Lonchura striata: one gene and its partner. The protein of the gene in region 2 purifies or fractionates together with the protein of the main gene of each other region. This does not show direct contact. Links are inferred from orthologs where the notes say so. Each region holds a gene or a part of one and is shown on either strand. Other genes may lie near its edges.

Evidence for each region.
Region 1: the proteins of EHMT2 (region 2) and CDYL purify together in Homo sapiens (affinity purification with mass spectrometry; 4 studies listed by BioGRID and IntAct, with this or other methods). This does not show direct contact. The link is inferred for Lonchura striata from reciprocal best matches to the Homo sapiens genes EHMT2 and CDYL.

What each region holds. Positions count from the first base shown.
Region 1 is NC_134603.1:94,244,511-94,260,899, forward strand, and holds the start of CDYL (chromodomain Y-like protein), read right to left. Parts: upstream 7,900-16,389; 5' UTR 7,491-7,899; coding exon 7,467-7,490; intron 1-7,466.
Region 2 is NC_134631.1:94,856-111,026, reverse strand, and holds the start of EHMT2 (histone-lysine N-methyltransferase EHMT2), read right to left. Parts: upstream 6,118-16,171; coding exon 6,094-6,117; intron 5,908-6,093; coding exon 5,862-5,907; intron 5,066-5,861; coding exon 4,879-5,065; intron 4,167-4,878; coding exon 3,863-4,166; intron 3,740-3,862; coding exon 3,661-3,739; intron 3,347-3,660; coding exon 3,258-3,346; intron 2,613-3,257; coding exon 2,493-2,612; intron 2,119-2,492; coding exon 1,966-2,118; intron 1,164-1,965; coding exon 1,055-1,163; intron 41-1,054; coding exon 1-40. UniProt on the Homo sapiens protein: Histone methyltransferase that specifically mono- and dimethylates 'Lys-9' of histone H3 (H3K9me1 and H3K9me2, respectively) in euchromatin.

The DNA of each region.
Region 1 (16,389 bases), on a different chromosome or scaffold from region 2:
ATAAATTACCAACTTTTGAATATCCACTGAATACAACATTCAACACATCATAGTCTTGAAAGTATTTTGAAATTTATATATATTCATTTCAGCACTCTTGAAAATGTACCTCAATGTTTTCCCTATATTTAAAAAATGTAAATTTTGTAAATGTAAATTTCTCCCCTATTTACAAAATGTACATGTAAAACATTTTTCTGTGATAAATACATCACAATATATTTCCCACAACGTGCATTAAACTGTGGCATCTCCAAAGTAAAGCAAAAATTTTTTTCCTAAATGAAGCACATTTCCATAATCCAGGATTTTACAGGAAGTGGAGATGTTTAGAGAAGTATTTAAATGTCTCCGCAAAATGAAAATCACAAAGAGAGAAGAGAAAAGAAGAGAAAGAGAAGAGAAAGAGAAGAGAAAGAGAAGAGAAAGAGAAGAGAAAGAGAAGAGAAAGAGAAGAGAAGAGAAGAGAAGAGAAGAGAAGAGAAGAGAAGAGAAGAGAAGAGAAGAGAAGAGAAGAGAAGAGAAGAGAAGAGAAGAGAGAAGAGAAGAGAGAAAAGAAGCTCCTTCCCTTTCAAACCAATATATTAAAAAAACAACAGAGTTTTGATTTTTCATGTGCTACTATGACAATCAGCAAAAAACAAACATTAACAATTTCCTTAAAAAGCATAAGACACTGTGGGGGCAGAAAAGTTAGAGAAGCACAGCTACAAATGTGGTTAGGCCACTTCAATACATACTTTATCTTTCCCCACAAAAGAAGTGAAACAAACCCTCAGACTTAACATGGGAAGAAGAAAGATTTGATCTGAGCTTTACTAATTAATTGTATGTATTGTGATAGTAAAATGTGAAGCCTCACTGAAAAATCACAACAAAACTGAGTTACAGTAGTTCCACTATTCAATACAACTAATTTACAGTTAAAAGAGACTTAGAAAATAGTTGCCTTACTTTACAATTAATCCTACCAATGTGGCTTTGAAGTAACTTAAAAATGTAAACCTATGATTAAAATATGCTTTTTAATCAACATCCATCCTGTGTATTCATACATATTAATAGATGCCTTGAAAAATATCTGCCACAGGTCACCATTAAGGACCACATGTAAATCTTCTGAGGATGTTTATGAAAACAGTAAATATTTTTGCCTTTACAGTGTACTGCCAGTAACATGCCAGATTTCCTTTCCTCTAAGTAATATGGAGAGAAGTTCAAAGGAATAATTTCAAAAAGCACAAAATTCTTGTGTGTAAATATTAAAAGCTCATCAGAAATCAGAAAAATAAAAGCTCTTCTTAGATCCTACAGCTCTGGAAAATACAATTGATAATATAAAATACTGAAATTTTAAGATATTTTCTGGACTAACAGCATACTGTCAGAGAAACCACATGGTAGGATGATAGGTTGATATTGTGAATTATAAATATTTTTTTTCTAAGATTAAAAATATAATCAACTCTGTATTTATTGTCCCATACTATCTATCATGTGGCATCCAGCCATTCAAAACCTCAAAGACACAGAAGAGAACAGGGAGAGACTTGTGCATCCCTTTTTACCCTGCAAATACGGTTTGTGGAGCTTGTGCTTCTAACAGATACACAAAAATAATACACTGCCCAGTAACAACAGATTTTGAATTTATTACAGAAGAATAAGAGTGGCATTATAGTGCTGCTTATCTGTTATATCCAACAGGTCTGCACATCCAGTTATCACATAGTCTGAATGAATCACATAGGTTGAATAAGATGAAAGCATAACTGTTAGTAACTTGGTTTTTTCTACTGCTTTGGCACAGATCAGAAATGCTGCGGCAGTCAGGAAGAAATGAAGCTGCACCTACTAGGAAGTCTAAAAGGGACAGAGCATCACTGATTTTATTCCAGCTATGCCAACCTTCCTGAAGAACAAGGGGCTGTGGCATGTCTCATTAAGTTCTTTGTGTCCGATAATTTATCTTCATTCAAGAGGTACTGAGCATCAGCATTGTGGAAGCAACCTTCTGTGATAGTACAGTCTTGCAAGTTGGAAGTAGTTGTTCTTTAACTCTAAACGTGACTGGCACTGCAGTAATAAATCTCTGATTGACCAAAAACTCAAGAAATTAAATCACAGTAAAAGACAGACTGTGAAGGTTAGGTATTATCAGAGCCGCGCAGGCTTTATGGATGAGGCGTCTCTTTCCCACTTTTTCTCTCTTCCACCGTTTGTTTTTTTTTTCTGTGATAGACATGAGCAATTCAAAATAAGTAATAGATTAAAAATAAAACCTTTTATTTACTATACTGATTTTGTACACGTACATAGAAAGGAGTTTTGTTCATAAAACTTGCTAAGATATCTCCGTATCTGTGAACCATTTGTGTTCCACATAGGGCACAGACAGACGTTCACTCTTTGCTTGCATGTGTTTGAGCTCACCCTGGGAGCAGCCTTGCCAGGTCAGTGGCACCATGAAGGGCAGGGCACACTGGAGAAAACCCCAGGGGCAGCTCAGGCACTTCCCCTGGAGCAGCAGCAGCAGACAGGGCACTAGTCCCCAGTTTTGTCCAGAGTTCTGGGGCTAATCAAGGTGGTGAAAAGCAGCTTGGCAAGGGACATGGAAAAGTCAAGTTTCTTACACTAAATGTGATGGCTCCATTCCTGCAGTGCTCTTGCATTCGTGCTTTGGTTTAAAGAAGTGAAAGTCACCCATGGAAGTTGAACAGCTAATCCTCAACTCTGTTTTAAATCAGAAGTGTAGTTCCTAAGGGGTGGAAGCAACACAAACATATCTGATGTAAATTCCTAGTCTTACTTAGTTGGGTAGGGTCAGTCAAGCAAATTTGTGTATTTTATCTCTCCTGAAACAAGCAGTAACATTTCCAACAGTTGTCAAAATAAACTCATAAAAATTCAGGCATTACACCTCAATGACTGTAAGTTCCTCCTAATGAACAAGATCTTTAACCAAGGTCTTGGGAATCAGCACATCAGAAACAAGCAGCAGAAGACAGATCCTAAGACAATCTGGAATTCCTGCACAACAGGCTGAATGAAAACAATCCATTTCAATGAGGAAAAAAATGGCTATTGCCTGAACAGCCAATTCTAATTTGTTGTTAATAGTAATTTTTCATCAAATAGCCATCAAAAACTACAACTCTAAGCTGCATACTGTAGATAATGGATTTACCCTTTCAGTTAACTTAGGTAAAACGAATGTTTAAACTTTCCAGTAAATGCACACAAAACATGATGAAGATTCCATCGCTGCAGTGTTACTAGGGCCGTGAGAGAAACTTTGGGTTTAAGTAATTCCTATGCAGCATCAAATTTTTGACAAAGTGACAGCATCTTCCAACAGCCTTCTTTCTACACGCTATTGTTTAAAAAACTATGCACACTAGATGAAGAACAGCCCACAGGACCACTTTTTTTGACTTGTGGGCAACTACTCTATAGACAAAGTTTAAATTTTCTTGGAATACGTCTCTTTGGGCTTACTTATTAGGTGATTAAGCCTGACACATAGCTTAATGCCAGGCTGTAGAACTTCAGCCAGTTGCTCCTGAAATTTGTTTCAGTTTGTAATTTCACTGTATCTGTATAATTTAATGTCAAAGGCTTTAGTTCTAAAAATAAAACCAAAAGTACTGAATCATCATTGGAGTGAAGTATCACCTTGAGAATACTAGACAACAGTATGAAAAAATGCGTATGTTTTTTGCAAGGCAATGAAAGAATTAAAAAAAATATATTTTCCATTCTATAAAGGATACAAAAAAATTGTAATTTTGAAGTAATGGACTTTCAATATGTTAATTTGTAATATTTTAATGGAAATTGGTTAAGACGCCTTAAAACACTAGGTTTATGACCAATGCCAATGTGAAAAACAGAGTGAAGAGAAGGCATCATGGCATAGGTGCACCAGCAAAGGTCACACAAACTGTTTTGCTTACTTATCAGTAAAATCCAGTAAAAATGTTTTGACATGAGTAGCAATCATGGCCTAAGCCTAGCCAGAGGATCCAGTGGGCCACATATATTATGGGTATCAGCTGTACCAGTAGCTCCCTGAGGAAAGGCAGAAATACTCAGTAATTTGACTAGATACACTGTCCAACAGCAGAGAACATCAATGCATTTCCACCTCACCTAATACAAAAACAAATTATTAAATTTTATGAGAAAGAGACTCTTCCAAACTCAGCACAGCTTAGTAGTTGTCTACCGACCCCGATTTGGTACGTCTGACCTGCTGGCTAGCACGCAGTTCTCCCACAGAGCACTTGTATGGAATCATTTCCACATTTCATCAAACAAACTTGCCATGCCAACCACAACTCGGGATGACTTCAATCCCAGACATCACTTGCAAGAGTTTGCCAAAGGAGGTCAAGGGATTTGACTGCAGAGAGAGCAAACATAGTTTGCTTCCAAAAGAACCTTGGAAATGAGGTCTACTTCTAATTACTCTGGTGAAGATGACGAGAACAAGTAAAAATGTTTAGTGGGAAACAGGTCAGTAAGTCAAAGGAAAGTTGTCACACTGAAGAAGAAAGTAACCCTACCATTTGCCCGAAGGCTGTACAAAGGATTTTTCAAAAACTACACTAAAAAATCGCAGCAGGCACATACAAAAAGAGGTGCCACAAGATGACAATGCCTGTTGAAACAAACTTGGGGAAATAAAAACCCAATGCACCTTTTCTTACATTTTCCGTCACCTATCTTGCTCACCAGCCTCTCCATGTCTGTCCACCTCACTAGCAAACACTTTGTCCCTTGAAGAAACAAACTTGAAAACAGAAAAAGGTTATTCACCTCATGTACAGAGACTGGCAACATTACTGACTGCTGCATTTTCCATCTAGGCAAAAAGAGCCTCTTCAATGTTTCTACCCCAGCAAAAAAAAAAAAAAAAAAAAAAAAAAAATAGTGGGTAGTCATCACCACCTCTAAAATGCATGGGAACAAATGACATTGAGGATACACAGCCTGCCCCAGTCACACTGCCAATCTATTAGTAGATTTCAAGGTTTTGATCTTTGAATTTGAAATCACTGGCCTACATAGAGATCAGCTCCCTCTCTTAAGGGATGACACCCATAATAAAAAGAATCCCATAAATAAGTGAATCCATTAGGATTAAAAAAAAAAAATCTACTTACCTTAATTTTTTATAAGCAGATTTTTCATTTGTATTTTGGAAGAACCATGACACATATCAGCAGAAATAGTTGGCATTCATACTTAAGCTAACAATTGCAAATAGATTACACAACATTTTTTTGATCAAGACACTAGATCAAGATCCAAAAGGAAAAATGGAAGTATAACAAATGGCAGCAGATTTCAAACACCAGATTCAAACAATATTGAGCATGAGCTATAAATAAGACAACCACGAAACAGAAGTAAACCCACCGTCAATAGCACAGGCAGTTCACAAAACAGTTTAAATTTCTTAATAAGTAACATTTCAGGTCAACTTGCAGCTTTGTCCTTCCCAAATTAGTGCTCACTGTATTTAAATAGTTTATTATTTTATAATTTTTCAGACATGGCTAGAAAATTCATTATAAGACAAAACACATCCAAAATGAGTAACAATTTAGAAAAAAGAGCTTGACCACATGTGAGTCCAAAAGCATTAACAATTTTGGCATCTTAGCTAAACTTTGCACTTGCACGATTAAAGAATGTGTCTGATTTTTAAAATTTAATAGTATCCCTTCAGGTGTTCTTCAAAAGCGGCTTTTGTGCAATGGCCACTACACCACCTGCCCACAGGACGACTGTGCCCCACAGACTACTGAGCCAACAAGTCAACATTTTGAACACAATTTAAGACAGCCAAGAAGAGTCATGCACAACGGTCATTCTTAGCCTCAGTCCAAGGCCCGGCAAACAGAATTTTCCAGGTCATTTATTTGCGCCCATCAAAACCAGTACCTCGTGTCCATCTTTGATCTAACACAGCAACACACAAAGAGCAAGAATTGGCCGCGGCACAGTCTACAGGCCCAACTCCACAAACCCAACAGAAACTTTTCCCAAAGTCAAAGCAAGTTTTTGGCAATCCCTCAAGACACAGAGTGGTTCCTAAATTTCTCTCCTACTTCTAGGGATGATCCCTTCAAGATTGGCTTAAGCTACATCGTGAGGATGGGGAAACATGCCAGATCAATTAACCATGATTTATCTGCCTTGGGAGTACAGGCCTTCGGTCTTCTTTCTAGTCTATCAGTTCAGCACCTCTGCTTGACAGTCAACTTGCTTAAAATACAAGCCCACCTGGGACACCTTCCACTGACTTCTACAGGGTCTGTTCCCCAATGGCATCACAGATGTAGCTCAATTAATGAGAGATACATGTGCACCAGCTGTACAGCAAGACATCTTCTGTCAAGTGTCCTGAAGGCTATCTGTCTCCTTTTAACCTTAAGAGTTCCAGCCTCTGGATACATGTTTTAAATAGATCACTGTCTAGATGCATATTAAATATCAGATAAGAGCATTTTTGGTTTTGGGAAGCCACTTCTCTACCCAAAAGGCAAGAACAGCTCCAAAACAACAATGGCTTTTCACTCCCGGGGATGACTTCTTGCAAAAATAAAAACAAGGAAGTTCAATCCAAGAGAACCATGACGCTTTTCAATTAAGGGCAAGGATGTGAATTTGACAGACATTAAGATAGGAAACTCAAAAGTTAGGCTGCCACCTTGTTCCCTTCTTCACCCCAAGACCTTCCTCTCCCGTCAGCACACGCTCTGACCACCTCCCGAGTGACGAGCGAAGGATGGCGTGTCAAAGCCTTAACTTTCAATCTTTTTGGCTTCTCTCGCAACCTCAACCCTATCGTTGGAGCACGAAGAGCCGAGGAGTTTAAATTTTAGTCTTTTGCACCGCCGCAGCTTGCTGCACGGCCAAGGCACACGATGGTGGCACAGGACTTCGGTATGGACACAAATCCAAGAGGAAAGCCCCTCTGCCCTCCTCCTCCTCCTCCCCCGCCCCCCCCGGCCCGGACAGAGGCAATAACTCGGCTCCGCTCACATTTTTGCACAGCGCCGGGCTCGCACTTCGACGTGCTCGCTGCCGGGGCTGTCAGCGCTGCTCGCCCCATCCAGCACCCCCCGTTCTCCTGACGGAGTCAAAGTGTTGTGTGAACGTGGGGAAAGGACTGGGGGGAGCGCAGGCCACGGCAACACTTTGCCGTCTCCTCCGTTCAGTCACATTTCCGTCCTCCTCCAGTAAAACTGGGGAGGGAAGGGGGGGCGGGGGGCCAGGCTGGGCACACACGCAGGCGCCGGGCCCAGCGGGAAGGGGCAGCAGCCGCGGCAAGTGTGGGTGACAAGCCCGGCGGCGCTCCCGGGGAGCAACAAAAACGCGCCCGGGTGCGCCGGGGTGGGGTGGGGTGGCCGGCGGGGCCGGGGGCAGGGCCGGTGGGGCTCGAGGGCTCTTACCTCGTAGAGTTCCTCGGAAGCCATGCTGTGGGAGCCTCACAAGGTGGAGTTGGGTGCTGGTTTGGAAATACTTTTGTTTCAGTTGGTGTCCGTTTGGCCTCCTCCTTCTCTTCTCCCTCCTCTTCTTCTTCTTCTTCTTTTTCTTCTTCTTCTTCTCCTCCTCCTCCTCCTCTTCCCCTCCTCCTTCTCCTCTTCCCGTCCTCCTCCTCCTCCTCCTCCTCCTCTTCTTCCTCCTCCTCCTCCCTGCGCGTCTCTCTCCAGCGCAACTAGCAGCTCCGCTCGTTAAATGCCAGTGAGGTGCTCCTGTTCCTGCCCCTGCTGCTGCTGCTGCTGCTGGCGCTGGCGGCGGCGGCGGCGGCGGGGGGGGTGCGCGCACGGCAGCTGCGCAACTCGCTCGCTCTCTCGGCTCGCCCTCGCACAGCCCGCCGCGCACGCACCCGCGCGCGCGCCCGCGGGAGCACGCAGCCGCGCGCACCCGCGCACACAGAACTCACACGCGTGCTCGCCCCCCCCGCCCCCCCGCACCCCTCCGGCCGCCGGCGGCTACACTCGCTCGCTCCCTCCCCAGGAACACTAATCGAGCGCAGAGAGACACACGCGAACCACCGCTCTCCGCCCCGCCGGCTCCACCAGCCGCCCCCCCCCGCCGCCGCCGCCGCCCGGCACCATCCTCCTCCTCCCGCTCCTTCTCCTCCTTCTCCTCCTCCCCCCACCCCATCCCGGCTTTGATCTCCCATTGTCTGCTCAGCTGAGCCCGGCGGGGGCGCGCGGGGGTCGGCGGGGGCGCGCGCCCGGGGCCGCGCCCGCGAAACCGCGGGTGATGGGAGCGGGAGGAGCGGGCGGGTGCGGGGCTGCGGGATGTGCCCGCGGGACGGACGCGGAGTTTGGAGCGGGGCGGTGCTGGGAGGACGCGGGGCCCCACGCACGTGCAGGGCCCTCGTCACGCCCCCGAGCTCCCGCCCGCAGCCCCCCGTGGCCGCCCCGCCGCGACCCTCCGCGTTCCAATGCCCGCGGGCTCCACCAGCGCCCGGTCCATCGCCCTGCGGTAGTGCCATACATAACGCGTCTGCACGCGCTTCTTCCCCGTCCCGACTTCCTTGGTTGGATGCCTTTGCCGTAAAAGAAACTAAACAGCCCTCGACGGAGGCTGCCAACACCGGATATGTGCCTTCCATCTCCCGGCTGACCGTGTTTGCCAAGCCGGGAAGGCCCCGCCAAGGCCTCCGTGGGATGATGGGCCAACAGAATGTAGCTGAACTGTTGACCTGCTTATGAGTCCATCCCTAGTTACACGACAGAACCTGTTCTTGGCACCTGGTGTGTCATCTGGGGGTGCCTCACATGAGGTGCTGTGGAGCTAGCCATGGACCTGATGAATGGAAGGCTTTGTTATGCAAAGGTAGATGTAAGAGTTACTTCTTTGAGAGAAAATTCTTCAAGGAATAGTTTCTGATCTCAAAGGGGCTGAAGACTGGGACAAAACCAGTGTCAGGACAGGAATGCCAAGCTGTGTGCTCTGTCATACCACATTGTTTTTTCCAGCAAGTGTTTCCTATTCCGTTCCACACCAGGGAGCCGTTCTCTGCCACAGAACAGCACAGGTTGGCGTAGAGTTCCTCGCATTTGTGTAATCAATCAAGCTATTGAGTCAACTCATTTTTGACCAAAGTTTTTACTTTTTCCTTCAGTGTCTTTCAAAGGTCTTCCTAAAAAAAATGTTCTCAAATGTTCTACTTTGATGGACGAGTTTTGGACTGTCGTCCAGCAGATAGTCATTCAGAAAATGTTGGTCCATTTATGGGCTTTGGATGATTTATGTAGAAAGAGCTAGAGATTCCTTTCTCAGACTTGATTAATCTGCCCATTCCTTATGACAAATATGTCAATGTCTCCAAGGTCAACATCCTTCATTTGGACAACTGAAATTCTATACTGGACTTCGAGATGGACGTCATTTGTGCAGATAAAATATCTAAGAACTTGCATAGTTTTCGTACTTTCCTGATCTTCTAACTAGTCTACAAAGAGATTTTTAATCCACTCCTTGATATCTTTAAGGACTAGGTTTAATCTAAGCTGGTGAAAGAGGGGGTCCTTCAGTGACAGGAGCAGGATCATTGGTGGAAGGATGGGCCTACATACAAAACTAAGATGGTTAAGATTTAGTAAACTCTGTGATTGCCTTCTGGAGATGAGCATTTAATTGCCATCCCTAAGGGGTGGGCCGAATCCTCTTTGAGCTGTACACAGAGTAATGTCACTGTTAGAGCCTCCCTTTGAAGGACAGCCCTTGAAGATAATCAGTATTCACATGATAGCAAAGAGATGGCGGCAGTGATTGCTGAAGATGTTACTTTGCAAAGACATAAAAATAGAGCATCTTGATCTGTACTAAGGGTCTCACCATTGCAGTAAACTAGTTCTTAAGCAGTTTGATTTTCTGGATGGTTCAAAAGAAGTACTGTTGATCAGTACTTCTACATTTGTCGTATCTCAAGGAAAGAGCCAAAATTCAGTTAACTCTAGTTTTTAGTGTTCTGACCACACTCCACAATTCAGCGAAATAATTTCTTCTTTTACACATATTCATTGCTTGCATTGCCATTAATTCTTTTTTGCGTTCCATTCTAACCTTTTGTCCTTGTTGCTTGGTAAAACTTTTCAGGAGAAACAATCACACTATTCAAAAATACCATTTGATAGTGTTGTGGTTCAAGCATCTGAGAGGTACTAGGTTTTTGTGATGGGTTTTTGCAGTTGGATTTTGTTACACAAGGTTAGCTTGCTCTCATCTTGCTTTCTCTAGAAAAAAAAAATCAAGTTGTCCAAATGTTGCATGATGAATTGTTGAAATCATTGTTTCTTTCTTACTTCTTAAGGTGTTCCATGTGTTCCTCATTGTAGGCAGGACACATCAAATTTCAACAGTATTTTGTTTGTTGAAGCCAGCCTTACTGCCAACTTCCTAAATGGCTTTCCTAACATTGCATGTAAATATCTCCAGAAGAGAAGCTATATGGAATGCAGTAATGGAGCAGTCTACGAAGACTGGAAAGCCAGACCAGTTTGAGTTCTGACAGTGGCAGTAAGTGTTTTCAGAGGTGGTTGAACAGCCTCAGTTAATGCACCTTGGGAAAGAACCAGGCAATGTCAGCCAGGCAGGAAGTTTTGCAATGTGCATACAGAGCTTCCAGTTTGAAGTGGACAATTGCCCTAGTGGTGCTCCTGGTAAAGTCAGGAGGACAATTGTTCTGTTTAGCTGAATAAAGAATGTTCTAATTTGTGGGCGAAATACAGAGCATGGAATCAAGTTCCTTTGAAAGGTCAACTCAATTTTGACCTCTTTGTGTGCCACTGTAATGTCTACAAAGATCGTCATAGGTGGTGGAACAGCTGAATTTGAAATAGTTGTGGTGGTAGGTCACAGCTAGCTGAAACCTTACAGTATTGAAAATATCATGGAGATCTGTATTGGATGGGAATGGATCTACATATCTAGAATTTGCTCTAGCAAAGGGATCACAGAAGTATTTAATATGCAAGGATTTACCCACAAGATCATAACTTTGATAATAAAGTGACTGTCAGTAGCTTCTGTTTGGTTATATTAAGCTGATTATCTGCCTTTTAGTATTTGGGAGTAAGGCTTAGGAAGGAAGCATTTAGTCCTTGAGATGCAGCCAGTGATTAACTGCAGGATTTCAAAAGGCGGGATTGATATGGCTAAATGGGATGGTCTGGTCTGTGCTGGCATTAACACCTCATCCAATCATCCAATGCACTTTTCACAGTTAAAGGAAAGATAATCAGCATCATTGGTGGAATTCCCAGCATGATTCATCTCATCCTAATGCAGATGCCTATGTCTAGTCAGCTGAATCTAAGTCTAAATTTCATTTTTCTTGTTGACTTTTTTTTAATGATCAGAATCATGTCACCTATTCTGCAACTGCTTAGAGAAAGTTGAGATTAATCCTACTCATGTTTCTGTAACCCAGTCTTTCTTGGTCTAAGACAACTGGATGATTTAAAATTCTGTAATGGCCAAGTTATGTTGACAGTTTTGGTCTGAAATGCATAATATCCCTTTGCACCTAATATTTTTTCTCTCCTAGTTTGATCCTATGTTCATTTGCCCACAACTTCTGGGGTGTGGCTCATTCTTGTAATTTGTTATTCTCTGTAAATTCTTTCCCTCTGAGTTTCCTCACTTCTTCCTCATCTCCATCTCAGTATCTTGTCTTCTAAGTGGTCTGAGATGTTTAAGTTAAAAATGAGAAAGAGAAATGATAGAAAAAAGTATTTCTTGCAATGTGTACTTCCCACACTCCAGAGCTGAGAGTTATGTTTCCCATTTTGTAATGGGTGCAGTTTCAAGAGAGGTCATTTCAGGAAGATAAAAGTTTGATAGTTTTTAGACACATGGAGGAAAGTGGAGTCACTTGAAGAATCAACTGTTGAACTAGATTCTTTACATGAAAGTCTGGGAGAGAGGACCTTCTATTTCTCTAAACTACTGAGACATTCCTTCCATTGATCTGAAAAACATTGATTCTAAATTAGATTAAGACAGTAACAGAATCCAGTTTAAATAACTGGAGAATGGAATGGCAATATTTACACTAATATATTCTTGGTAATTTTTTGGACTGAAAAAAAAGGTATTTAGTTCTTTATTGATAAGGACAGTTTCCCCAAATTTTTGCTTTGAAAGAATGTGATCAATACACCACCGTTTCCTTGTGGAGTTCAACGACAGACTCCATGTCTCCAGTTTTTTTAAGAACCAGTAATTTTTCTTTGCAATATGCCCATTAAATAAGGGGGGGATTTTGATATCCATTCTCTACCCATTTAGAACTAATACATGACATTACTGCAAATATTGTCAGAGTTGTCCACTGACTTCTGACATTCAATTAAAGAGGCCTAGATTTAAAAACTTAATAAAAGATAGTATATTTTACTTTTAAAGTAGCTTTTTAATTGATATTTCTTACAGGTGTAAATATTAGATGGTTTTGTACCTCTGGCTAAATACCCAATATCTTGTATTGGCTTTCCGAAGTAATATTTAGAATCTATGCTTTACTATGCTTTAATGGCTTGCTTAGTGTCAAATAGAAGTTTTACAACAGAATTAGAACTAAATTACATGGGACAGAATGAAGTTTTATCTACAGGACCTGCTTTTCTCTTTGTGCATTCTCCTGACACTTTCACCACCTGCCTTTCTAGTTCTGCTACACTTGAAACTGGAATCTTACATGCAGCAGCTTCCATCCATAACAGACATAGATACCCCTGACTATGGATGCTGTGAAACCAATGCTGACAGAGATGAGATCAATATGTTTACATCCCCGGTTAGTCTACATATGTTCTGCATATTTCTGATTTATTCCTAGAAGAGGATTTTTGCCTTGAATGAGGCAAAAGCACAATGGAAAAGGCAATTTGAACAGCTGATCACAGAACAAACATAGAAAATGAAGATGTACCAATACTACATAACTTAAAATGATTTTATGTTTAATAGTCTCAAACTGGACATCTAAAATAAAAATAATTTTGTGCAATTGCATTGCTTGCCCTTTCAGCCCACCCTACTGGTCACCAGCAGTGTTTAGTTGTTTACATCCACATCAGAGATAAAAACTTTTAGCTACCTCCTTGAACTCCTTGGCTCTATTCAAAGTAGTACTGTCATACCACTGGAATGAGCTTCCCTTGCCTTGGTGAGGATAAGAACAGGTTTATAAAAGGACTAAGAAAACAAAATCCTAGCTAAATAGTTGGGTTGGGATGGGAGCATGGAGTAAAGATGAAGGATAATTTTATCCTTATGGAACACTTTAAATGTCTGATCAGCCATAACAATTTGCTTTTTCTCATAGTCAATGTAATGATCATTATGAAGAGTGCATTACCTGAACATTAAATTAGGGAATGTCCTCTTCAGTTTTGAAAGGAGGTGTCATAATCTAAGAAAGCTGTAGGTTGAGGACTGATGGAAATGTAGGTACTGTATCTGAAAGACAGGCATTCTTTGCTTTTCTCTTTGATTTTGTAATTTGTGTTCTTATGACTAAGTACACTTTAGAATGAGTAAGTACGTGGAGAACAGGGACATCTGAAATTCTATGTTTTTACAGAGAATGCAGAGAGCCTTACAGATTTTTAATGAAGTACATGTTCTGCTACAGCTCATGCAGGATATTTTTCATAGAGAACTTTGGGTTTTATTCTGTTTATGGGTATAGTATTTACAGGTTGACTTTTCAAGAGTGTAAATATCTCCAGCATTTTTTTTCTCAACATGGCCTATCAATCTTTTCCAAATACTATAACCAGTGTTTTCCAATGAAGAGAATGTTAATTTGGGTGGTAAACTGTTAGCTGTTTTCCTTTAGGAAAATAAAGACATTTGTAAACATTGAGAAAGAACAGGGTGTTTCTTCTGATAATTAGAGAAAGACTGAAAAACATCTTTTTTTTTCCATTCAGATGAGAAAAAAAAAGTCTCACAATCTTCTTAAAGAACTGAAAAAGGAAAAACTTAACAATGTAAAGCTATCTTCTAAAGCAATAGAAATGCCTTTTTATGAATAAACAATATGAAATCTATGGGTTTTTTTCAATTTGAAGATTCAATACCAATATATTGGAAACAGCAATGAGATAGGAAAACAAATACTATAATCAATAATACTAATGACAGAGGGTACAAAACCCAAACTATTCACATTGAAACTTCTTGACAATAGACAATAGTCAACCGCTCCCTCTACCACGCTATGCCGACTCGGAAGGGAGCCCTTCCCCATCCCTGAAAAATTATATGAGGTGGTACAGAATAACCTTTGGGTCCTAGCCATGCCCCTCCTGGCTACTGCAAAAATTACCCCTGTCCTGGCTGGAACCAGGAAAATTTAGTTTTCCTGTAATCATCATAATGTAGATTTTTTCAGTACACTGCAGTGCAGCCTAGTTCTACCAGTACTTCTTACCAGAAGCTTGACTCATATAAGAATATTATGCTAATGTTAGGCTTAGTGCTTGAAAAACTTCACAAAACTGAGCAAGCTGCCTTTCAGCATAGAGAAGGGAAAGTAAAATGTATACTTGATTCATCATTAGCCTGCAGATTTCACTCTGGATTCAATGTAGCCTGAACAAAAATAATAATATATTCTGTAAAGGAAGAGGTGCTAAAGGTAAGGAATCTTTAGTGGCTTATCTTAGAGATGATTCACAAACAGTTCCTTTTTGGAGAAGCATGTTCGTGTCAGTATATAGCTTAGTAAAATTATGACAAAGTGGAAGAGGAAGTGGTCTGAATGCCTCCCATTTTGTTTCCTTTCTGTTGTCTAAAGAACTTACTCATTTGACTGATGGTCCGTGGCTGAATTAAAGACCTTTTGTAATAAATGTGGCAATATGAAAGATCAAAACTATGTTACAGATTCTTGAGACTTATTTAGCACTAGCACTGGAAATTAATTTGTTTCCTAGGGATAGACTATGACAGTATGACCCTTTAAGATAGAAGCTTAAGTCAACAGTCTGCTCCTCCTGGGTCAGTTTACAGATGGAGGTTTTGCAGCTGAGAATTGATGGATCTGAAATTGCAGATTCATGCAATTTTAATCTTTTCAGGTAGCCCCCAGTAACAAAGGCTGGCACATGCAGTCAATAGCCTTGTTGTTTAGACTGACGGCCCTGGGACAAAAGGCCTTATTCCAGAAGTTTGCCTGTATTAGGATAGGCTGAATTCTACTGGATTTTCTCTGTTATATTTTAGCAGCTGCTCACTGGCGATCATTTGGTATCATAATACAAGTTTTGCTATCAATAGACAAGGGTAAATTCACTAGTAAACACTTCACTAGGTTTTGCCATAAAGCCTCTGTTTCATCTTGGACTGTGTTCATTGTCTGTACTCACATAAGGAGATGGTGTTTTAGAAGGGCATGGATATGTTTCTATCAATCTTTCTACAGGAATGTAATGCGGAATGAGTGTTTCCTCTAGAAAGTCAAATACACAAAGTCACAATTACTATCTTTTATTTTGGTATTAATTATTTTGTGTTGCAGAACATACATTATTTTTAAAAGCAACAAAATAAAGTTAATAAATCAAAATTATCTCAACTCATGCATAATCAAACAGAGAAAGTAACTAAATGCCTGTGGCAGTTTTGGTTGATGTTACTGTATTTTTGTCATCTGGCTCACTGAAGTGAGGATAGTTTGAACACAGTTTGTAAAAAACTCCTGTCTTTAAAAGCTCCTCACATCTACCTTTTATAGTCTTACCTAAGATCACTAGGCAGCAATGAGGAAAAACAGTGAGCAAAAGCGATACCAAGACGCTCCAGCGAGTACTCTCTCAAGGAGTCAATCCATTGCCAGGTTGTATTGTTGGCATATCCCAATAACAAAAACTACAAAAACTATTCAAAAAGTAACTACTTTTTTAAACATTGTTCCAGGGAAAAAAGAAAGAAAGAATCAAGAAAACAAAAAAGCCTCAAACCCAACCACCAACTGAATCTTTTCAGATGAAGTATTCCTTCAAAGAATTCATCAAGGGTCATATATTGAAAAGTTGCAATCCCAGTGGTTTAAAGTCAGCAAAGATAGCAATGTAAAATGTCTTTTACTAGAAAGCGTCAAGCAGCATTAACCATAGGCATTACTGTATGTATTGGCTATAATAAAACAGTGTAACAGTCCTCAAAGATACAATCTGAGATCATCACAGGCATGCATAAGCACTACATATTATAAAGTTCTTTAAAAGAAATATGGGATGATGCCATTACTCACAAATAGCATAGTCATGAATTAGTCATGCGGGTCAGCCCTGAGTGCAGAAGATAGTATCTATATATATTATATCATAGTGTTACAGGTTT
Region 2 (16,171 bases):
GTGTATTCGCTGGGGGGGCCCACGGGGGGGCCGGGGGCGCCTGGGGGGCACGGGGGGTCAGAGACCCCAAACTCCCCTCCCGGGGACCCCTCCCCAAATCCCCTCCCTGGGATCCCTCCCCAAAATCCCATCCCCAAGACCCCTGCCCAAAATCCCCTCCCAGGGACCCCTCCCCAAATCCAGTCCCAGAGACCCCTCCCCAAATTCCCCTCCCCGGGACCCCTCCCCAAATCCCCTCCCTGGGACCCCTCCCCAAATCCTGTCCCAGAGACCCCTCCCCAAATCCCCTCCCAGGGACCCCTCCCCAAATCCCCTCAATGGAGACCCCTCCCCCAGTCCCCTCCCCAAAATCCCCTCCCTGGGACCCCACCCCAAATCCCCTCCCTGAGACCCCACCCCAAAATCCCTCCATGGAGACCCCTCCCCAAATCCCGACTCCAATCCCCCCTCCCCAAAATCCTGTCCCAACTCTCCTCCCCAAATCCCCTCAATGGAGACCCCTCCCTAAATCCCCTGGGACCCCTCCCCAAATCCCCTCCCTGGGACCCCTCCCTAAATCCCCTGGGACCCCTCCCCAAATCCCCTCCCTGGGACCCCTCCCTAAATCCCCTGGGACCCCTCCCCAAATCCCCTCCCAGGGACCCCTCCCCAAATCCCCACTCCAATCCCCCCCTCCCCAAAATCCTGTCCCAACTCTCCTCCCCAAATTCCCTCCCTGGAGACCCCCCCCCCTCCCCAAATTCGTGTCCCAATCCCCACCCGAATTTGGATCCCCCTCCCCATTTCAGGGTCCCCTTCCCCATTCTGGGGTACCCTTCCCCATTTTCAGATCCCTCTGCCCATTTTTTGGGTGCCCCTCCTCATTTCGGGGTCCCCTCCCCACTTTGGGGTCCCCCCCACATTTTGGGGTCCCCCTCCCCATTTTGGGGTCCCCCTCCCCATTTAGGGATCCCCTGCCCACTTTGGGATTCCCCTCCCCAATTCAGGATACCCCTCCCCATTTTTTGGGTCCCCCTCCCCACTTGGGGGTCCCCCCCAGGTTTTGGGGTCCCACCTCGGTCCTTGCCCCCCCGGGGGTCCTTCCTCTTCCTCTTGCGGGCGGGTTTCAGCCAGGGGCTCTCCTTCCAGCGCCGCCGCCCGCGGCGCCGCGCGCTGCACGCGCTCTGGGGCCCCAAAATCACCCAAACGGCCCAAAACGGCCCCGAAAACGCGGAGACGGGGCCAGAAACAGCCCCGACATCACAAACACCCCAAAACGGCCCCAAAAACCCGGAGACTGAGCCAAAAACAGCCCAAACGGCCCCAAAAACGCAGAGACTGACCCAAAAACAGCCCCAAAATCACAAATACCCCAAAAGAGCCCCAAAAACCCAGAGACTGAGCCAAAAACCACCCCAAAAACACTGAGACTGACCCAAAAACAGCCCCAAAATCACAAATGTCCCAAAACAGCCCAAAAACCCAGAGACTGAGCCAAAAACAGCCCCAAACAGCCCCAAAAACGCAGAGACGGGGCCAGAAACAGCCCCAAAATCACAAATGTCCAAAACGGCCCAAAAACCCAGAGACTGAGCCAAAAACCACCCCAAAAACACTGAGACTGACCCAAAAACAGCCCCAAAATCACAAATGTCCCAAAAGAGCCCCAAAAACACTGAGACTGAGCCAAAAACCGCCCCAAACGTCCCAAAAACACTGAGACTGACCCAAAAACAGCCCAAAATCACAAATATCCCAAAAGGCCCCAAGAACCCAGAAACAGACCCAAAAACTCCCCAGAAACGCCCCAAATATCCCAAAAGGGCCCCAAACACCCCAGAGAATGACCCCAAACCCCCCAAAAGTGCCCCAAAATCCCCCAGAATGGCCCCCAAACCCCTGAGACTGCCCAAAAACCCCCCCAAACCACCAAACCTGCCCCGAATCCTCCCCAAAAGCCCCAAATTTCCCCCCAAATCCCCTCACCCGATCCGAGGCGTTCCCGGACTCTTCGTCCTCTTCCTCCTCCTCCTCCTCCTCCTCCTCCTCCTCTTCCTCCTCGTCCTCTTCCTCCTCCTCTTCTTCCTCCTCCTCCTCCTCCTCCTCGCTCAGGGCCTCGCCCGGCCCGTCCCCCTCAGACTGAGCAGGGGATGGGCTGAGTCGGGGGGTCTCGAGCCCCCCAGCACCCCCCAGTTCATCCCAGTGTCCCCCAGTCCATCCCAGTCCCCAAATTTCCATTCCCAGTCCCTCCCAGCCTATCCCAGTTCCCCCAGTCCATCCCAGTCCCTCCCAGTCCCCCAGATTTCCATTCCCAGTTCCTCCCAGTCCATCCCAGTTCCCCCCAGTCCATCCCAGTCCCTCCCAGTCCCTCCCAGTCCCCCAGATTTCCATTCCCAGTTCCTCCCAGTCCATCCCAGTCCCTCCCAGTCCATCCCAGTCCCCCAGATTTCCATTCCCAGTCCCCCCAGCCCCTCTCCCAGTCCCTCCCAGTACAAACCAGTCCCTCCCAGTACCTTGCTGTCCGAGTCCCCGTGCCCATCCACGCTGAAGCCGTCGTAGAAGAGGGAGAAGCCCCCTCCCCCCTCCGAGTCCCAGTCCCGGGGGGGCGCGGCCATTTCCTCCGTCACTGTGATCTGGGGGGCACGGGGGATTTGGGGGGATCTCGGGGATTTGGGGGGATTTGGGGGGGTTTGGGGGATCTCGGGGGATTTGGGGGGGATTTGGGGGGGTTTGGGGGGGTTTGGGGGGGATTTGGGGGGGTTTGGGGGGATTGGGGGATTTGGGGGGGTTTGGGGGGATTTGGGGGATTTGGGGGGGTTTGGGGGATTTGGGGGGGATTTGGGGGGGATTTGGGGGGGATTTGGGGGGGATTTGGGGGGATTTTGAGGGGTCCTGGGGCATGCTTGGGGGACTTGGGGGGATTTTGGGGGGATTTGGGGGATCTGGGGATGTCTGGGGGGATTTGGGGGTGTTCGGGGGCAGCCATTTCCTCCATCACTGTGATCTGGGGGGCACGGGGGGATTTGGGAGGATTTTGGGGGTATTTTGGGGGGTCCTGGGGGGGATTGGGGGAGATTAGGGGGATCCTGGAAGGGTTAAGGGGGCATTTGGGGGGCTCTGGAGAGATTTGCGGGGGTCCTGGATGGTTTTTGGGGTGGTTTTGGGGGGATTTTGGGGGGTTTTGGGTACCTCGGTGCTGGTGCAGGGGCTGGGGCGCTGCAGGGTCCCTGGGGGTGATTTTGGGGGGATTTGGGGGATTTTGGGGGATTTTTGGGTACCTCGGTGCTGGCGCGGGGGCTGGGGCGCTGCTGCAGCCGCTTGTGGAGCCCCTCGGAGCCAAAATCCAGCTTGGGGCGTTTGGGGGTGTCTGGGGGGGCAAAGAGAGAGGGTCAGGGAGACCCCAGACTCAAATCTGAACCCCCAGATCCAAATCTGAACCCCCAGACCCTTCCAGAACCACCCCAAACCCCCCAGGATCCCCCAACACCCCCCAAACCTCCCCAAGACCCCCCAAAACCTCCCCAGGACACTCCCAAACCCCTCCAGGACTCCCCAGGACCCCCCAAACCCACCCAGGACCTCCCCAACACCCCTCAAACCCCGCAAGGACTCCCCAAACCTCCTCAAGACCCCCCAAATCCCCTCCAGGACCCCCCCAAATTCCCCCAAACCCCCCCAGACCGTGGTGCTGCCCCATCCCGCAGAGCTCCTCGGACACCCTGAAGTGCAGCATCTCCGACATCCTCGGCTTCTCGGGCACCTGGAGGGGGGCAAAAAACACCCCCAAACCCTCAGCGGGGGTCCCCCAAAACCCCCAGACCCCCCAGACCCCCCCAAACCCCTGACACCCCCTGCCCAGAACCCCCCCAGAGCCAGCCCGTACCTGTCCGTTGCTGGGCTTGGCCATGGTTTTGCGAGCTCGGTGAATTTTGGGGGGCTCGGGGGGGTTCTGGGGGGGGCTCCGGGGGGTTCTGGGGGGGCTCCGGGGTGGGGGGCGACCCCCGGGACCCCCCGAGCCCGGCAGGCTGAGCAGGCGCAGGGCCAGGCTTTGGCCCGGGGGGGTTTTGCCGCCCCCCGCCCCCGTCAGGGACATTTTGGCACGGCTGGGGGGGGGCAGGGGGTGGGAGGAGAACCCCCAAAATCGCCCCCCAAAATCGGGGAGCCCGGCAGGGTCTTGGTGGCGTGGCCTGAGGGCAAGAAAAAGGGGAGACCCCCCCCAAAAATAGCTCAGAGACAGCCCCAGGTTGATTTAAAAACCAAATTTGATTTCCCCCCACCACAAAATTTAACAGATCCCCCCAAAATCTCCTCCAGACACCCCAGAAGCCATGAAGACCCCCCCCAAAATGTCACCAACCCCCCCAAAATCCTCCCAGATCCCCCCAAATCCATCCCAGACCCCCCTCAAACCCCCCAAAGCACCCCCAAACCCCCCAAATCCCCCCAAGAATCCCCAGACCCACCCCAAAATTGCCCCAGACCCCCCAAAATCCATCCCAGACCCCCTCAAACCCCCCAGACCCTCCCCAAAAACCCCCAAACCCCCCTAGATCCCCCAAAAAACCCCAGGTCCCCAAGATCCTGCCAGACCCCACCAGAACCTCCTCAAAGCGCCCCCAGACCACCCAAAATCCCCAGACACCCCCCAAAACTGCCCCAGACCCCCAAAATCCCCAGACACCCCCCAAAACTGCCCCAGACCACCCAAAACGCACCCCAGACCCCCCAAAACCCACCCCAGACCCCCCAAAACCCATCCCAGTTCCCCCAAAACCCATCCCAGACCCCCCAAAACTGCCCCAGACCCCCCAAAACTGCCCCAGACTCGCCCAAAACCCATCCCAGACCCCCCAAAACCCACCCCAGATCCCCCCAGCCCCCCCAAAATCCCCCCCAGACGCCCCCTCCTCACCTGGCAGCCCCTTGGAGCCGCTGCCGCCCCCGGGGGGGGTCCCCTGCGCCCCCTCCCCATCGCTGGGGCCGCCCCCCCCCGGCCCCTCCTCGTCCGGGGGGGCCCCCCCGGCTGTGGGGGGGGTCCCGCCGGGGGGGGGAGGGTCACAGGGGGAGGGGCTGCCCGGGGGGAGCCCTGGGGGGGGAGAAAAGGGGGGTCAGGGGGGGTTTGGGGCATTTTGGGGGGGTCTGGGCGGAATTTCGGGGGGTCATGAGGGGATTTCGGGGGGTCTTGAGGGGGATTTTGGGGGGTCCTGAGGGGGATTTTGGGGGGTCCTGAGGGGAATTTTGGGGATCCTGAGGGGATTTTGGGGATCCTGAGGGGATTTTGGGGGGTCCTAAGGGGATTTTGGGGATCCTGAGGGGATTTGGGGGGGTCCTGAGGGGATTTTGGGGGGTCCTGAGGGGATTTTGGGGATCCTGAGGGGGATTTTGGGGATCCTGAGGGGATTTTGGGGATCCTGAGGGGAATTTGGGGATCCTGAGGGGATTTTGGGGGGTCCTAAGGGGATTTTGGGGATCCTGAGGGGATTTTGGGGGGTCCTGAGGGGATTTTGGGGATCCTGAGGGGGATTTTGGGGATCCTGAGGGGATTTTGGGGATCCTGAGGGGAATTTTGGGGAACCTGAGGGGATTTTGGGGGGCCCTAAGGGGATTTTGGGGATCCTGAGGGGATTTTGGGGGGTCCTGAGGGGATTTTGGGGGATCCTGAGAGGATTTTGAGGGACCCTGAGGGGATTTTGGGGATCCTGATTGGAATTTTGGGATCCTGATTGGAATTTTGGGGATCCTGAGGAGATTTTGGGGATCCTGATTGGAATTTTGGGATCCTGATTGGAATTTTGGGGATCCTGAGGCAGATCTGAGGGGGATCTCAGGGGGGTCTCAGTGGAGACCAAAGTGCGAATAAGAATTTGGGGGGGGTCACTCACCGGCCTCTCCCGCCGCCTCCACCACGAGGGTCCCGCCGGGAGGGTCCTGAGGGGGAGGGGGAGGGGCAGAGAGCGCCGTGAGGGGCGCGCCCCTCCCCCCAGCGGACCCCGCCCCTCCCCCCGCTCACAGCCACCGCCCGAATGCCCAAAACCTCTCAAAACCCCCCAAAAAAAACCCCAAACCGCCCGAAAACGCCCCAAAGAGCGGCCCCGGCTCGGCCTCCCCTCAGACCTCGGCGCCTCCCGCCGCCTCCATCGCCGCGCGCGGTGACGTCAGCACGCAGCGCGTAGCGCCTTTTATGGGCGAAGCCACGCCCACCGCGCGGGCTTTGTGTTGCCGGATTGGCCACGCCTACCGAGCGAAGCCACGCCCCCTCGCTGTGAGCCACGCCCACCGAGCCAAGCCACTCCCCTCGTTTTAAGCCACGCCCACTGCCTTAAGCCACGCCTCTTTGTGTTTAGGCCACGCCCATGTGAATTTTGGGGGGTCCTGGTGGTTCGGGACCCCCCAAATTGTCCCGAAAGGGCTCAAAAAATGGCGCTGAAAACGAATAAATCCGCGAAAATGAGGAAAGGACAAAAATTAATGAATTCGAAAAAGTGAAAAACTCATAAAAATTCAGAAATTGCCCAAAAAAATCCCAGAAATTTAATGAATCAATAAAAGCTAACCAATCCCCAAAAACTAGTACATTCTAAAATATAATAAACCCCCCCAAAAATGTATAAATCCCAAATAAATTAATAAACCCCCAAAGTTGTATTAATGAATGCCCAAAAATGGAAAAAATCCTCCAAAAACAACTAAATTTTAAAAATTAATCAAATGTCAAAGTCATTAATCCTTAAAAATTAATAAATCCCAAAAATTAACCAATCTCTAAAAATTAATAAATGCCAAAAAATAAATTCCCCAAAGTAAGTCCCATACAAATTTATAAATCCAAAAAAATTAAATTCATAAATCTTCCCAAAATGAATCCCAAAAAATAAATGCAAAAGAAAAAAAACCCTAAAAAATAAATAACTCCTACAAAAATTAGTAATTCCCCCAAAATAAATTGCAAATAAATTAATACATCCCAAAATTAAATAAAGAAACCCCCACAAAAAATGAATTCCCCAAAAATAAATGAACAAATCCCAAAAAACAACTAAAAACCCATTTTTAAAATTTTTTTCAAAATCCATTTATTACAAAAAAAAAAAAATTCAAAAAAAACCTCCGGGGTTGGGGGAGGGGTCCCACGCCCCTCCCCCACCCCAAAACGGGTCTCACCCCCCCCCCCAAAATCCCCCAAAAGGGACCCAAAATTCTCCTTTCTACCCCCTAAACCCCCCGCCAAAAAACCCCAATTTTGGGGTCACCTCCCCCACCCCAAATCCCTCCCCCACCCCCAAAAACTTCCCCTCCCCCACCCCTCACTACAACCTAAGGGGGTCCCCAAATCCTAAAATCTACAAAACCCCCCAAAAAATCTGGGGGAATCCCCAAAAAAATCAGGGGAGTCCCCAAAAATCTGGGAGGAATCCCTAAAACATCAAGGGGGACCCCCCAAAAATCCCCCGAGACCTTGAGAGCCCCGGAATTTACCCAGAGAGGCCAAATTTGGGGGGATGCCCCCAAAAAAATCAGCCTTATTCAGCTCATTTTGCCCAAAATCCCCAAAATTTTGCCGGTTTTGGGTTTTTTCCCTGTTTTTTCCAGCTGGATTTTCAATGGGGACCCCAAAATTTGTCACTCAGGTGGCCCAGGAACCCCAAAATTTGTCACCCAGGGGCTCTTCCTCACCATTTTGGGTTCTTTCCCCATATTTTGGGGTCCTTTCTCCCCATTTTGGGGTCATTCCTCCTCATTTTGGGGTCATTTCCCTGATTTTGTCATTGTTCCTCCCCATTTTGGGTCTCCCCACTTTGTTCCAGGAAGGATTTGGGTGTCCAGGGGTCACTCCGTGGTCACTCCATGGTCACTCTGTGGTCACTCTCTGGTCACTCTGTGGTCACTCTGCTCACTCTGTGATCACTCTCTGGTCACTCTCTGGTCACTCCATGGTTACTCTGGTCACTCTGTGATCACTCTCTGGTCACTCTCTGGTCACTCCGTGGTCACTCTGCTCACTCTGTGATCACTCTCTGGTCACTCTCTGGTCACTCCGTGGTCACTCTGGTCACTCTGTGATCACTCTCTGGTCACTCTCTGGTCACTCCGTGGTCACTCTGGTCACTCTGGGCTCGTTGCCATCACCCCGGGGGTCACCCACTCGGGGTCACGGTGTCCACATGTCCAGGGGTCACTTTGGGGGTCACTTTGGGGGTCACTCTGAGGTCGCCACCGTCACCCCGGTGGTCACTCTCAATGTCCAGCAGGGTCCAGGTGTCCGGTGGTCAATCCCAACCACTCTGGGGTCACTTTGGGGGTCACTCCCCACCACTTTGGTGGTCACTCCATGGTCACTCTGACCTCCTTGCCACCACCCCAGCGGTCACCAGCTCAGTGTCCAGCAGGGATCAAATGTCCAGTGGTCACTCCCCACCACTCTGGGGTCACTTTGGGGTCATTCCTGACCACTGTGGCCTCCTTGCCACCACCCCAGTGGTCACTCCCTCAGTGTCCAGCAGGGATCCAGTGTCCAGTGGTCACTCCCCACCACTCTGGGGTCACTCTGCACCACTTTGGGGTCACTCTGCACCACTTTGGGGTCACTTTTCACCACTTTGGGGTCACTTTTCATCACTTTGGGTCACTCTGCACCACTTTGGGGTCACTCCCCACCACTTCGGTGGTCACTCTGTGGTCACTCCCACTTCCTTCCCACCACCCCAGCGGTCACTCCCTCAGTGTCCAGCAGGGATCCAGTGTCCAGTGGTCACTCCCCACCACTCTGGGGTCACTCTGCACCACTTTGGGGTCACTCTGCTCCACTCTGGGGTCACTCTGCTCCACTTTGGGGTCACTTTTCACCACTTTGGGGTCACTCTGCTCCACTTTGGGGGGGTCACTCCCCACCACTTCAGTGGTCACTCCGTGGTCACTCCCACCACCGCAGCGGTCACTCCCTGCACATCCCCCACCCCTCACCGCCCCTCCCCCCACCCCTCCCCCCTTCCTCACCCGGGAGAGGACCCAGCACCCCCCAAACCCCCCCCGCCCCCCGCCCCCCACCCCGCCGGGCCCTCCCCCGCCCCGCGTCACCGCAGCAGCACCCCTCCCTCGGCGCCGCCGGCTTCCAGAACGTTCTGCGCCGTGGTTTTGCCGTGCTGCTCCTTGAGGTGCCGGCGGATGGCCGGCTTGTGGGCGAAGCGCACGTCGCAGTAGGAGCAGCGGTAGGGCCGGGCGCCGCTGTGCAGGTTCAGGTGGTCGTGCAGGGTGGATTTCTGCGTGAAGCTCTTGCCGCAGACGCCGCAGCCGTGCGACTTGACGCCGCGGTGCACGTTCATGTGCCGGTTCAGGTTGCTGCTGTGGTTGAACTGCTTGCCGCAGCGCGGGCACATGAAGACGAAGTGCTGCGCCCGCATGTGAAACACCAGCTTCTCCACGCCCTGGAAGCTCTCCCCGCACTTCCCGCACCGCGACGCCGCCGCCGGCGCCGCCGGTGCCGCCGGTGCCGCCGCGGAGGCCGCGGCGCTCGCCGAGGCGCCGGCGTGCCCGCCCGGCGGTTCCTCGGCGCCGCCCGCGCCGCCCGCGGCCGCCGCCGCCGGGGAAGATGACCAAACCTTCCCCCTCGGCGTCCTCGGCCAGGCTGTAACACGCCTTGACCACGCCGAGCCGCGCCGCGCCGCCGTCCGCCGCCGCCGCCGCGCCGCTCTGCGCCGCCTCGCCGCCCGTCACCGCCGGCCACCTGCGCCCGCGGCGCCGCGTGGCCGGCTCCACCTTGACGATGCAGACGTCGCCCGCCGCGTCCTCCTCGTCCTCCTCGTCCTCGTCCTCCTCGGGCTTGGGCGGCGGCGCGGGCGCGGCGGGCGCGGGCTGGATGAAGCGCGCCAGCGCGCCGCGGCAGCGCTCCACCACGTGCTCCATCTGCAGGTAGCTGGCGGCCGTCAGGTAGTTGACGAGGTCGCGGGCCGGCAAACTCCAGCGCGCCCGTGTAGCAGGAGAGCAGCAGGTCGGCCAGCACGCGGGCGCTGTGGGCCAGCGAGACGCGCAGCTCGGCCGCCGGGTTCAGCAGGAACTGGTCGCGCAGGAAGGGCGAGCAGGCGGCCAGGATGACGCGGTGGCCGCGGAAGCGCAGGCTGCGCGCCACGATGGTGACGTCACAGAAGCGCTCCTCCGCCCGCAGCCGCGTCATCGAGCGCAGCGCCGCCGCCTCGTGGCCCGGCAGCTGGAAACGGAGCACCTCGGCGCACGACGACATGGCGCCGGCGGGGCTGGGGGGCTGGCGGGACTGGGAGGGACTGGGAGTGGACTGGGGGGACTGGGGGGGACTGGGGGGGAAGTTATGGGCACTGGGAGGTACTGGGAGAGACTGAGAGTGAACTGGGAGTGACTGGGAGCCAAGTTATGGGGACTGGGACGGACTGGGAGGGACTGGGAGAGACTGGGAGGGACTGGGAGCCAAGTTATGGGGACTGGGAGGGACTGGGAGAGGAATTATGGGCACTGGGAACGACTGGGAGCGACTGGGATGGACTGGGAGGGAACTGCCAAGGGACTGGGAGTAACTGGGAGGGACTGGGACAGACTGGGAGGGACTGGGAGCACTGGGGGGGGGGGGGTCAGTGGGGGTCACTGGGAGTTACTGGGAGCACTGGGGGGGTCACTGGGAGTTACTGGGAGCACTGGGGGGGGGGTCAGTGGGAGTTACTGGGAGTTACTGGGAGCACTGGGGGGGTCACTGGAGGTCACTGGGAGCACTGGGGGGGTCACTGGGGGTCACTGGGAGCACTGGGGGGGTCACTGGGGGGGTCACTGGGAGTTACTGGGAGCACTGGGGGGGTCACTGGGAGTTACTGGGAGTTACTGGGAGCACTGGGGGAGTTACTGGGGTCACTGGGAGTTACTGGGAGCACTGGGGGGGTCACTGGGAGTTACTGGGAGTTACTGGGAGCACTGGGGGGGGGTGGGGCAGGCTCCGGGAGTCACGTGGCTGCACCTGCGGACGGACGGAGGGGGGGGAGGGGAGTGAGGGAGCGGGTGGGGGAGGGGGCGGGGGGGGGGAGCGCGCGCCAAGGCCGCGCCGTGACGTCACCGCGCCCCCCCCTTGAACCAAACCCCCCCCCCCCCACACACACACACACACACAACCCCTCCCCCCCCACCGCCTCCCTCTCCCCTCCCCCACCTCCCCCTCCCCCGGGGCCGTGCCCATCCCCCCCGGTACCGGCTGAGCGGCGGGCCCGGGCAGCGAGCGGCGGCGGCGGCGGCGCGGGGCATTGTGGATGCAGGCGGACCCCCCTTCCCCGCGGGGCCGCGGGGCATTGTGGGATACTGGAGGACCCCTCCCCGCCCTCCTTCCCCCTTCCCGCCGCGGGGCATTGTGGGATGCGGGCGGACCGCGTGACGTCACCGGCGCGCGGCGCCGTTGCCATGGGGACGGGGAAGGGCGGGGAAAACGGGGGAGAAAATGGGGGAAAAAATGGGCAAAAAAAAGGGTTAAAATCGGTGCGAAAACGGTCGGGAAACGGTGGAAAGATGGTGAAAAAGAGTGGTGGAAAGATCGGCGGTAAAAGGTCCAAAATGGTCAAAAGTGGTGAAAAAAGGAAGAAAAAATGGTGAAAAAAAAGGTCAGGATGTGGTGAAATACATGGCGAGGAAATGGCCAAGTGGCCCAAAAACTGTGGGGAAAGTGGTGGAATAAACGGTCAGAAAATGGTAAAAAAAATGGTGGAAGAAATGGGCAGAAAATTGGTCCAAAAGTGGCCAGGAAATGGTGAAAAATGGTGAAAAAACTGCCCAAAAATCGGTCCAAAATGGTCGGAAAATAGAGAGAAATTCTTCCCAAATTTGCACGAAATTTGTCCCAAAATCACTGAATTCCACCCGAAAAGTCAGCTGCAGTTTGTCTGAAAGAGTGGACGCAATTCGTCCAAAAAGTCCAAAATCCGCCCAAAAATCTTCAGAAATTCTCCCAGAAAAATGGGCAAACCCCAAAATCAGCCCCGGGAGCCACGAGGGAGGGGGGGTGGCACCTCTGGGGGCACCTGGGGACACCTGGGGACACCTGGGGGCACTTTGGGGACACCTGGGGACATCTGGGGTGTCAGGGACAGCGGTGGCACCTCTGGGGGACACCTGGGCACACCTTGGGGACACTTTAGGGACATCCTGGCACACCTTGGAGACACTTTAGGGGTACCTGGGCACACCTGGGGGCACCTTGGGGACACCTGGGGCACCTTGGGGACAGTTTAGGGGTACCTGGGCACACCTGGGAAACACCTGGAGCACCTGGGCAGACTTTGGGCACACCTGGGACACTTTAGGGGCACCTGGGGGCACCTGGAGACAATTGGTGACGCTCCTTGGGGACTTTATTGCTCTCAGGGGTGTCAGGGACAGCGGTGCCATCGCTGGGACACACCTGGGCACACCTGGGCACACCTGGGCACACCTGGGGTACCCCTGGGCACCCCTGGGGTACCCCTGGGCACACCTGGGGCACACCTGGGGCACACCTGGGCACCCCTGGGCACACCTGGGGCACACCCAGGGGTGTCCGGGCTGTCACCCCGTCCCCCCCGTCCCCCTGTCCCCTGCGTTCCGGGGGGCGGGGCGGTGTCCTTGTCGCCTCCTTTGTCGCGACTGTCGCCTCCTCCTTTGTCGCCTCCTCCGTCTCCTCCTCCATCTCCTCCTCCGTCTCCTCCTCCATCTCCTCCTCCATCTCCTCCTCTGTCGCCGCTGTCGCCGCTGTCGCGACGGTCGCGGCCCGGCCACTCGGGCAGCGGCGGCCACGGCGCCAGCGGGAGCCCCGGGGCGGGGGAGGGGCGCTCGGCCATGGCTGGGGGGGGAGGGGACAGAGGGGAGCGCCGGTTCAGCCCAGTTCAGCCCAGTTCATTCCCAGTTCAGCCCAGTTCATTCCCAGTGCCTCCCAGTCCATTCCAAATTCATCCCAGTTCATTCCCAGTTCCTCCCAGTTCAGCCCAGTGCCTCCCAGTTCATTCCCAGTTCATTCCCAGTTCATTCCCAGTTCAGCCAAGTTCAGCCCAGGCCCTCCCAGTTCGGTCCCAGTTCAGCCCAGTGCCTCCCAGTTCATCCCAGTGCCTCCCAGTTCATCCCAGTGCCTCCCAGTTCATTCCTAGTCCATTCCAAATTCATCCCAGTTCATTCCCAGTTCCTCCCAGTTCATTCCAAATTCATCCCAGTTCATTCCCAGTTCAGCCCAGGCCCTCCCAGTTCACCCCAGCCCCACCCAGTTCATTCCCAGTTCCCCCCAGTTTGCTCCCAGTTCACACCAGCCCCACCCAGTTCATTCCCAGTTTCCCCCAGTTTGCTCCCAGTCCCTCCCAGTACCTGGCAGCGCTGCCTGGTCCCTCCTCTTCACACTGGGATCAAACTGGGATCAAACTGGGAGCAAACTGGGAGCACTGGGAGGGCTCTTAAAGGCTCCCGGAGGGGCGGGGGAGGGGCTGTGACTCAGTTCCCGGCATTCCCTGCGGGGGGGGGGGGGGGGAAGGTTTTGGGGACACCCCCCCAAAATTTGGGACATTCCAGGTGTTCAAAAAAAACCCAAAAATTTGGGACAGTCCAGGTGATTCCCCCCCCCCCCCCCCAAAATTTCGGACAATCCAGGTGAGCACCCCCCAAAAAAATCTGGGAATTCCAGGTGTGACCCCCAAATTCCAGCGGTTCCAGGTGTGCCCCTCCCCCACCCCGGGCGTGTCCCCCCAAATTTGTGGTTGGAACCGGCCGTACTGGGAGCACTGGGAGCACTGGTTTGGGGGAGGGGCCGTACTGGGAGCACTGGTTTGGGGGGGAGGGGCCGTACTGGGAGCACTGGTTTGGGGGGAGGGGATGCCTGGAGTGGGGGAGGGGCAGGGACGGGACTGAGAGTGGCCCCAGTGCTCCCAGTGCTCCCAGTACCCCATTCCCAGTATCTCCCCAGTATCTCCAGTCCCCCATTCCCAGTATCTCCAGTCCCCCATTCCCAGTATCCCCAGTGCTCCCAGTGCCTCCATTCCCAGTATCCCCAGTCCCCCATCCCAGTATCCCCAGTGCTCCCAGTATCCCCATCCCAGTGCTCCCAGTGCCCCCATTCCCAGTGTTCCCAGTATCCCCAGTCCCCCATTCCCAGTATCCCCAGTGCTCCCAGTGCCCCCAGTCCCACACCACAGCGACGGGGCTGGGCCCAATCCAAGCCTTTATTTGGGATCCTTCGGGATCCACCCAGACCCCTCCCCCCCATTTCCGGCCCCCCCTCCCCCATCCCCGCTCCCGATCCCGGCTCCGACCCTTCGGGATCTTCGGGGATCCGCTCGGAACATTCCGGATCCCCCAGGACCCCTCCCCCCATCCCCCCCCTACTTCCGGCACCCCCCGCAGCCGTTCCCGCCCCCGGCCTCGTCCTCGGCCCCGGATCCCGGCCCGGATCCCTGGGTGGATCCCGGACCGGATCCTGAACTGTATCCCTGGCTGTAACCCTGACTGGATCCCTGGGCAGATCCCAGGGCGGATCCCTGGGCGGATCCTGGGCGGGATCCCTGGGCAGATTCCAGGGCAGATCCCTGCCTGGATCCCTGACCGGATCCTTGGCTGTATCCGTGACCAGATCCCAAACCATACCCCTGACCGGATCCCTGACCGGATCCCAGCCCGTACCCCTGGCCCGATCCCTGACCGGATCCCGGCCCGCGGCGGATCGGGATGTGCCCCCCGATGCGGGCGGGGTCCCGCAGCCCCGGCACGAAGGGGATCCCGGGGTTCTTGTAGCCGGGACGCTGCCGGGATCCCCCGAAGGATCCCCCGAAGGAGCCCGGGCCCCCCTCGGAGGATCCCCAATCCCCTCCCGAGGATCCCGATCCTCCCCCGTAGGATCCCGGCCTGCCCTGTGATCCCGATCCCCCATAGGATCCCGAGGATCCCCCATAAGATCCCATTCCCCCATAGGATCCCGGACCACCCCCGTAGGATCCCGGTCTTCCCTGTGATCCCGATCCTCCCCCGTAGGATCCCGGCCTGCCCTGTGATCCTGATCCTCCATAAGATCCCGAGGATCCCCCATAGGATCCCATTCCTCCAGAGGATCCCGATCCTCCTCCGTAGGATCCCGGCCTGCCGTGGGATCCCGAGGAACCCCCGTAAGATCCCGATCCTCCCCCATAGGATCCCGAGGATCCCCCATAGGATCCTGGACCACCCCCATAGGATCCTGGTCTGCCCTGGGATCCTGATCCCCCGTAGGATCCCGGGCCACCCCCGTAAGATCCCGGTCTACCCTGGGATCCCGAGGATCCCCCATAGGATCCCATTCCCCCATAGGATCCTGGTCTGCCCTGGGATCCTGATCCCCCATAGGATCCTGAGGATCCCCCATAGGATCCCGGTCTACCCTGGGATCCCGAGGATCCCCCATAGGATCCCATTCCTCCGTAGGATCCCGGTCTGCCCTGGGATCCCGAGGATCCCCCATAGGATCCCGATCCTCCCCCGTAGGACACCACATCATCCCCGTAGGATCCCGAATATCCCCCGTAGGAGCCGGATCCACTTCCCCCCTGGGATCCGGGTCTGCCCGATCCCGATCCGGGTCTTCCTGATCCAGATCCGGATCCAGATCCGGGCCTTCCGGATCCAGATCCGTAGGACCCTGAGCTGGATCCCCCGTAGGATCCCGAGGATCCCCCATAGGATCCTGGACCACCCCCGTAGGATCCCGGTCTGCCCTGGGACCCTGATCCTCCATAAGATCCTGAGGATCCCCCATAGGATCCCATTCCTCCAGAGGATCCCGGTCTGCCCTGGGATCCCGATCCTCCATAAGATCCTGAGGATCCTCCATAGGATCCCATTCCTCCAGAGGATCCTGATCCTCCCCCGTAGGATCCCGGTCTACCCTGGGATCCCGAGGATCCCCCATAGGATCCTGATCCCCCATAGGATCCCGAGGATCCCCCATAGGATCCCGGTCTGCCCTGGGATCCCGAGGAACCCCCGTAGGAACCGGATCCACTTCCCCCCTGGGATCCGGGTCTGCCTGATCCGGATCCAGATCCAGATCCGGGTTTTCCTGATCCGGATCCGTAGGACCCTGAGCTGGATCCCCCGTAGGATCCCGAACTTCCAGACGATCCCGATCCGTACGATCCCGAATTTCCCCCGTAGGATCCCGAACTTCCAGAGGATCCCGAATTTCCCCCGTAGGATCCCGATCCAGCCC